2 linked regions of the Macaca fascicularis genome follow. The protein of the gene in region 1 purifies or fractionates together with the protein of each later gene. This does not show direct contact. Links are inferred from orthologs where the notes say so. Each region holds a gene or a part of one and is shown in the gene's direction. Other genes may lie near its edges.

Region 1 (4,151 bases):
GCGCAGGTGCGCCCCGGCCGCCCGGAGTCCTGCATCCTGCCGGCCTGCTTTCACAGAGCCGCGCCCGCGCCGCGCCTGGGGCTCCCGCCGCGCGTAGGCTGTGCCGACCGCGGTCCCCGGTGGGGACACCGAGTCCCACTCGCGGCGTAGGGAGGCGGGCACCGTCACGACACTGGTCCGGCCCGCGGATCCCTTGGCCGCCGCAGTTGGCCTCCATTACCCTTTCCCGCGCCGCGCCTCCCCGCGGGGAAAATGAAACCTAGTGCCCTCAGGTTGAGACACAGGGTGGGATCCACTGTCTTCTCACTTAGCCAAGAGAAAAGACAGAACCGACTTCAGACAGCAAAGGGGTGTGTTGCCCTGGCCGGGTCGCCTGCGGCCCCGCCCCGGCGCTCTCCACCTCCTTCGCGGCCCGCCCTCTTGGCGCCCGCGACTACATTTCCCAGAGGACGCCGCGGCTCCGAGGGGCGGGCCCGTCCGCTCTCCCGCTCACGACCACCGGCGACTGGCTGACTCGGCAGGGGGCGGGGCCTGCGCCAGCCAATAGACGGGAGGCTCGTTACGGCGGCGGAAGCAGCGGCGCTGGAGTGAGGGGTGGGGGGCAGAGTGCTAGCTCCCCGGCGGTGGCTGCGGGTCGGGAACCTGGGGACGTCGGCCCCGCAGACAGAGAGCGCGCGGGAGCGAGCTCAAGGCGGCGCGGCGGCCACTCGGCGCAGCACCCAGGTAATGGCGGGACGGGAGCCCGGGAGGGAAGGGGAGGAGACGAGGGGGCGGGGCGGCCGAGCCGGGCTGCAGCGTCCGTCCCGTTGCGCGTCCCCGGGGAAGGGCAGAGGATCCTCGTCTCCTGCAGCTCGGACCGCGGCTCTTTGGCGAGCTGGGCACGGCAGTTGGGCCGGCGACAGGGGCTGGGTGTCCTGTGGCGAGGAAGGGAGAGGCACCGGGAGGGGTGGGCTGACCCGGGCGTGGGGGCGTGGCGGACGTGGGCCTTGGCGGGGAAGCAGAGCGGTCGGGGGAGCGCGGGCGGGCGGGCGGCCCAGGGAGTTTGGCTCCTGGAGCAGTTTAAAGTGACTCTCCACATCCGGGCCCTGCGCCCGCCGCTTTCAGACCCTGGCCAAGGCGGGGCCTCCCCGCTCCCCGCCCCCCTCGCCGGGGGCGCCTGTCTTCCTCTGCCATTGGTTCAGCCTCGAGGGGTTTGGGCTGCCCCGGCCAGGCTCGCGCCTGATTGGCTGGCGGTCGGCGGGAGGGTGGGGCGGGTCCTGACCGTGTAGGTCGCTGTGGATTGGTCCTGGGCCTCCACTGACGCGCCGGGCGTGGGGCCAATGGGCGGGCGGGGGAGGCAGGGGCAGGTTCGGGGGAAGAGGACTGCGAGCACAGCGGCGGCCGGGTGTTGGGGGTGAGTGGGGCCAGCGGGGCTGGACAGCGGCGGGCCCCGGGCGCCGCCGCCGCGATCCCTCCCCGCGCCCCCCGAGCGCATCGCCGCCGCCGAGATGGGCCCTCCGCGGCACCCCCAGGCCGGCGAGCTAGAAGCGGGCGGTGCGGGCGGCGGGCGGCGGCTACAGGTAAAGAGGCACAGTGCTCGCCTTGTGGTCGGGTCCCCAGAACGCCCGTCCGCACCCCTACCCCGGAGACGGGGATCTCGCACTCCGAGGTGTCTGGAAATCGGCGTCCTCCCATCTCAGCGGGGGCTTCGCGGTGGGGTGGGGTTGCGGGCGAATCAGGGGAGATCGCTTGGCTCCTGGGGGAAAAGTGGGGGACGATTTTAGGGAAGATGGAGAAGGTGTAGGGTCCTCTTGCTCTGTGGGGGTCTATGAAAGGGAAAGAAAAGGAAATCCGTAAATGGAAGCCTTTGCAGAAAAGCGTTGGAGAATTCCTTTTGCATCAGGTCTGAATGTAAAACATCCGATCCTTTCTTAGGGCTGGGTATCTTCCTCCGAATGTTCCTATGACATGCTAATCACAGTTCTGTTCACCTTGGTGTGAGGTTTGAGTGTTTCGAAGAGACATGCCATTTTCCATAAAACTTTACACAGAGAAATACACATGCATTGTGGTAATACCTGTCATGTGACTCTTGTACAGGATTCAATGGTGATTTTTTTAGCATGGCAATCCACAAGTATTTATGGAGGGTTATAGTACACGCCAGCTCCGTATAAACGATATTGGTAGAAAACTTAGGTAGTTTAGATAATGTCTGCATTTATATTGATCCTACGTTATTGTTTTTAAATAGATGATGCAACATTTGCTTTTCCGAGGGACTATCTCATAGGTACTAAAGATGCTTTAATTTCTCAATATTGATTCAGATCTCAGAATCTAGTAATAACCATATAACTGTATGTACTGCAGGTGGAAATGAGTTCTCAACAGTTTCCTCGATTAGGAGCCCCTTCTACTGGGCTGAGCCAGGCCCCTTCTCAGATTGCAAACAGTGGTACTGCTGGATTGATAAACCCAGCTGCTACAGGTGAGATATGTAATATTCTAATATATTTCTTCCAACTTTACGAATATTGCCAGTTTTCTAACTTAAAAATTAGCAGATTCCTTCTAGGATTTTAGTAAATTCTTATTTCTTGAATTTGAAGAAAGGGTATATTACTATTCTAATTTAAACAAGGCTTTTTTTCTTCCTGTTTTAACCACGTCGTTCACATAGAGTACACATGCAACTTACAGCGAAGCATGCCTGTAAGAACTATTTTTGAAATGCATTAATATATTCATGTTTAATTAATGTCCATGAGTATAGCATTAGTGCTGTGAGGGAGCCCAGAGTTGTTTAAGGAACAGATCTTGCCTTTTAGGAGTTTATTATCAAGGAAAATAAGTGGAAAACAAAGGATATGCAGTTTCCCTATGGTGTCTGTGGGGGATTGGTTCCAGGACCCACCTCAGATACCAAAATCCATGTTGCTCCACTTTGTGATGTAAAATGGTATAGTGTTTACATATTACCTGTATCTATCCTCCAGTATACTTTAAATCAGCTGTAGATTACTTGTAATGCCTACTACAAAGTAAATAGTATGTAAATAGTTGTTATTCCGTATTGCTAAGAGAACAGTGAGAAGACAAAAAAGTCTGTATGTGCTTAGTACAGATGCAACCATATTTTATTTTTCCCCCTGAATATTTAACATCCAAAGTTGTTTGAATTCACATCAGGGAACCCATGGATACAGAGGGCTGATTGCATACACACAGATAAGACTTGGTTTTTCGTCTCATGCCCTTTGAGTGCTAGAAATCAGTGGTTCTCAGTGACAGGTGTTTGGGGAGGTGGTTTTTCCTGCAGGGGAATACTTGGCAATATCTAAAGACAGTTTGGTTGTCACAACTCAACAGTGCTATTGGCATCTGGTAGGTAGAGGCCAGGGATACTGCTTCACATCCTACAAGATAACGGGAAGCCCCCACAACAGAGAAGTATCCAGTCTAGTCAGCAGCGCTGAAGTTGAGGAATTCCTTCAAATACTCTTTTTCGCTACGTATTAAGTAAATATGTGACATTGCAAAGTGGAATAAACTATTTTCTTTTTTTTTTTTTTTTTTTTTTTGAGACGGAGTCTCGCTGTGTCTCCCAGGCTGGAGTGCAGTGGCGTGATCTCGGCTCACTGCAAGCTCCGCCTCCCGGGTTCACGCCATTCTCCCGCCTCAGCCTCCCAAATAGCTGAGCCTACAGGCGCCCGCCACCACGCCCGGCTAGTTTTTTGTATTTTTAGTAGAGACGGGGTTTCACCATGTTAGCCAGGATAGTCTCGATCTCCTGACCTCGTGATCCACCCGCCTCGGCCTCCCAAAGTGCTGGGATTACAGGCTTGAGCCACCGCGCCCGGCCATGAATAAACTATTTTCTATTCCTTTTTCTTCACCACTCGATTCTGGTGTTCCTTATGGTAAATGATACCACTGTCTACTCATTGCTTAAACCAGTAGCTGAGGCTTATTTTTTTGCAACAGCATCTCATGCTGTCATTCAAGCGGGAGTACAGTGGCCTAATCACAGCCCACTGCAGCCTCGATCTTTTGAGCTCCCCAGCTTATTTTATTTTATTTTACTTTATTTTGTTTTATTTTATTTTTTTGAGACAGAGTGTCACTCTTTGGCCCAGGTTAGAGTGCACTGGCTCTATCTCAGGTCCCTT
Region 2 (3,565 bases), on another chromosome or scaffold:
TCACGAAAACTGAAGGGGACCTTAACTACACCCCTCCATGATTTCTTTTTTTTTTTTTTCTAACCCCTGCTTTGTTATTTTTATTTTTTTCTTAGGGTTTATTGTAAAAGAGACATTTGATTGGCTGGTAAAGGTTTCCTTCTGTGTACGCATCAGGCATAAGATTTAAATACACATCCATTTCTGAAAATGAAACTAGGATTTTAAGTATTACTGGCTTTCTAAAGCCAAGTCCTAGGCAGTTCGGCTCCAGTGGCTTTTCATGGCCTGACTCTGGTAAGGCATTCGAAGGCTGCTCTGACTCGCAGTTCATAGAAGAGACCAACCGGCTCAGTATTCATAGTTGTTCCTTCCAGAACAGCACTTGAGATCATCAGTGCTAGTTGCCAACTAGAATGCTGAATTGGTGACATCTTTTTTTGTTTAAAGCACCATGATTACTCACACATCCCTCTACTTCCTGAGTCTTGTGGAAGAAAAACAAGAGTCTTCTTTTTCTGGATAATGTCTTCCTGGGGGCCTCTGTGGTCCACAGAGGTGTCCTGACCTTCTGAGGCATGCATGATGGGGAGGGGGTGAGGGAGTTGTGTGAGTGTGTAAATTTAGTAGTTCTTGAAATGATTCCTTTTTTGGATTATAGAGTCTCACTCTGTCGCCCGGCTGGAGTGCAGTGGCATGATCTCTGCTTACTGCAACTTCCGACTCCCAGGTTCAAGTGATTTTCCTGCCTCAGCCTCCCGAGTAGCTGGGACTACAGGCGCGTGCCACCATGCCTGGCCGACTTTTTGTATTTTAGTTTCACCATGTTGGCCAGGATGGTCTCATCTGTTGACCTCGTGGTCCACCTGCCTCGGCCTCCCAAAGTGCTGGGATTATAGGCGTGCGCCACTGCACCCTGCTAAAAATGATTGCATTTTAAAGAGATTTTCATAATACTTGCCCTTTGATCACCAGGGCTTTAGTCCTACTGTAAGTGACCTTATATGTTTGCACATTTGACCTTAATCTTTCTGAAGCCCAGGTGTCTCTTCCATTTGATGAGGTTAATCTGTGCCTTGCCTACTTCCCAGGGTTGCTTTGATTATCAAGTTTAGATGGAATATACAAGAATTTTGCTGAATTCCCATGCATTATTACTGTAAGGGCTCAATGATGATTATTACCACATTCTGATAGTGTTTCAATTAAAGCATGTTAACTGGTAGACTCGCATGTGTTGGTTGCATTCTTAGTCATGTAAGTGTTGGTTTCCTCCAGCATCTCCATCGTCTCCTGAGCACTTGCCTGCGACACCCGCGGAATCTCCAGCCCAGAGGTTTGAAGCTCGGATAGAAGACGGCAAACTGTACTATGACAAAAGATGGTATGTTATGGGAAAACCTGGACTACTTGTAAAAGTCTCATACCAACCACTTGGAAAGAGGGCTTGGGGCTATTGTAGTTATTTCAGAGCATGGCTGCTGTTAAACTTACATAGTACTAAAAGTAGAAACCCATTAAAAAATGTATTAGCAGTCATTTAACCAATACTTCCAGTAGATCTTTGAAAGCAGTGTTTCCCAAAACCATGTTCTGCTCCCCTTCCTTCTCCATTCCGCTGTCTCTGTACTAGAATTTGCAGGCTGCTATCTTGTATGGTGCCCCTGCCAACTGGGGCTGGGGTGTATGTCCCCCTGTGACCCCTCTTAACTCTGCCCCTGTGTGCTAAAGTTAGTAGGTGCTCTTCGGATTAAAGGATTTTGTGGTCATATTAGTTTGGGGGATGATCATGTTAATTAAGATAAGTGGGTTTCTCCCTTGTAGCACCCTTTGGGTCCTGTGATATGCTAATGTACACTGTGAATTTCTAAGATGTTATTAGTTGTGTTTTGATGTCACATACCCTTTTTTCTTACATGATCCTGCTGCAGAAGTGGTCAAGGATACTTGCTTGGGGGAGCTGTATCCTAAAACATTCCTAGTTTGTTTTTTGTTTTTTGAGACGGAGTCTTGCTCTGTCACCAGACTGGAGTGCAGTGGTGTGATCTCAGCTCACTGCAACCTCCGCCTTCCCTGTTCAAGCGATTCTCCTGCCTCAACCTCCCGAGTAGCTGGAATTGCAGGCACCCGCCACCATGCCCAGCTAATTTTTGTATTTTTAGTAGAGACAAGGTTTCACCGTGTTGGCCGGGTTGGTCTCGAACTCCTGACCTCACATGATCTGATTGCCTCGGCTTCCCAAAGTGCTGGGATTACAGGCGTAAGCCACCATGTCCTGCTGCATTCCTAGTTTACACTGAAGACTCTTTGAAACCTTCAGACCACCTAGCATTTTTCATTGGAAAGGTAATGGCAAAACAGTATGGAAGAACCTTAAAAGCTCATACTTTTGTTCATTCAACAAACATTTCTTCTGTATTAACACTTTCTGCTGGGTATGAAATGGATACTGCCATCATTTCTCAGGTCTTTTCATTCTGATATATTTCTTTTTATTCTTTGTCCATATGCAGGCATACTCTCTATTCGTTTTAAGTCATAATGGACATATGGTTGGCTTTGCCTTTCCGTTTGGTTATATTGAGAATGTTTTTCTGGGTTACTATAAGGTGTCTGTAATTATCATTTATAATGGCTATATAATGACCCTTTGAGTTTCAGTATCTAACCAAAAGTTCCAAAATTGGGGTAATGGTTATTTATTTTGAATTCTTAAAAAAAACCAGCATTGTGTTAGATTGGTTACTTGATAACATTGTACTTGTCAGAAATGCTTAGGGTTCTTGTCATGCCTGAAATAAATCATTTCCACCTACTAAGTTGCAGTGAGTTAATTACCCAGTAGATGCTGGAGGCTCACTTTATCACTAAGGCTGGTCTTGATGACTTCTTCCCCTCTGATTTGGTTTTCTTTGGCCTTCTTCAGGAAGGTCGGTTTGTGTTGTAACATTATGTCTCAGAACACATCGCCACTAGGTGGCAGGTTCTAACAGCTTAACACCGAGAAGGGCAAAATGAGATGAAAAATGTTTCTAATAATGAAAACCAAATAACCTTTAAAGATCAAGCCCACACATAAGAACCATCCTTGAAAATGATGAGATTTATCAGTAACATTTTTACGGATCTATGAGTCTTAAAGCCATGTGATATTTCCAGTCATATTCATTTTGTTAATTGTGTTGCTTTGAATCTTCCTCTTTCTAAGCTTAATCCTCAGACTTGATGAGACATGTCTTGAGGGTGAAAATGCAGTAAAATAAAATTCTTGTTTTTTTAAAAAAAGGATCCACAGTGTCTGGTGTTTCCTAATGTAAACAAAATGGTCAGATTTGATGTGTTAGAACTCCTAAGCATTTTGAAGGAATTTTCACCATCTTTCTTACATCAGCAGCAGAAATGTAGAAAATAATGTCACTGGATGCATTTTACCTCTTCAGTGAAATTGAAATTGCTTATTCTCTTGTTAAATATACTGTGAAAATGTTGTTTTCTTCTCTATTCCGTATACTTTTAATTTTTGGCCTTGGCAGTCAGAGATCATAATGCAGTTGTTGAAGGTGGGTCTTTCTCTTCTCCAGTGACA

The links.
Region 2: the proteins of SAP130 (region 1) and SUDS3 purify together in Homo sapiens (affinity purification with western blotting; 3 studies listed by BioGRID, with this or other methods). This does not show direct contact. The link is inferred for Macaca fascicularis from reciprocal best matches to the Homo sapiens genes SAP130 and SUDS3.

Annotation. Positions count from the first base shown.
Region 1 is NC_088386.1:3,499,453-3,503,603, forward strand, and holds the start of SAP130 (histone deacetylase complex subunit SAP130), read left to right. Parts: upstream 1-1,344; 5' UTR 1,345-1,487; coding exon 1,488-1,559; intron 1,560-2,352; coding exon 2,353-2,470; intron 2,471-4,151. UniProt on the Homo sapiens protein: Acts as a transcriptional repressor. May function in the assembly and/or enzymatic activity of the mSin3A corepressor complex or in mediating interactions between the complex and other regulatory complexes.
Region 2 is NC_088385.1:125,402,550-125,406,114, forward strand, and holds part of SUDS3 (sin3 histone deacetylase corepressor complex component SDS3), read left to right. Parts: intron 1-1,257; coding exon 1,258-1,363; intron 1,364-3,565.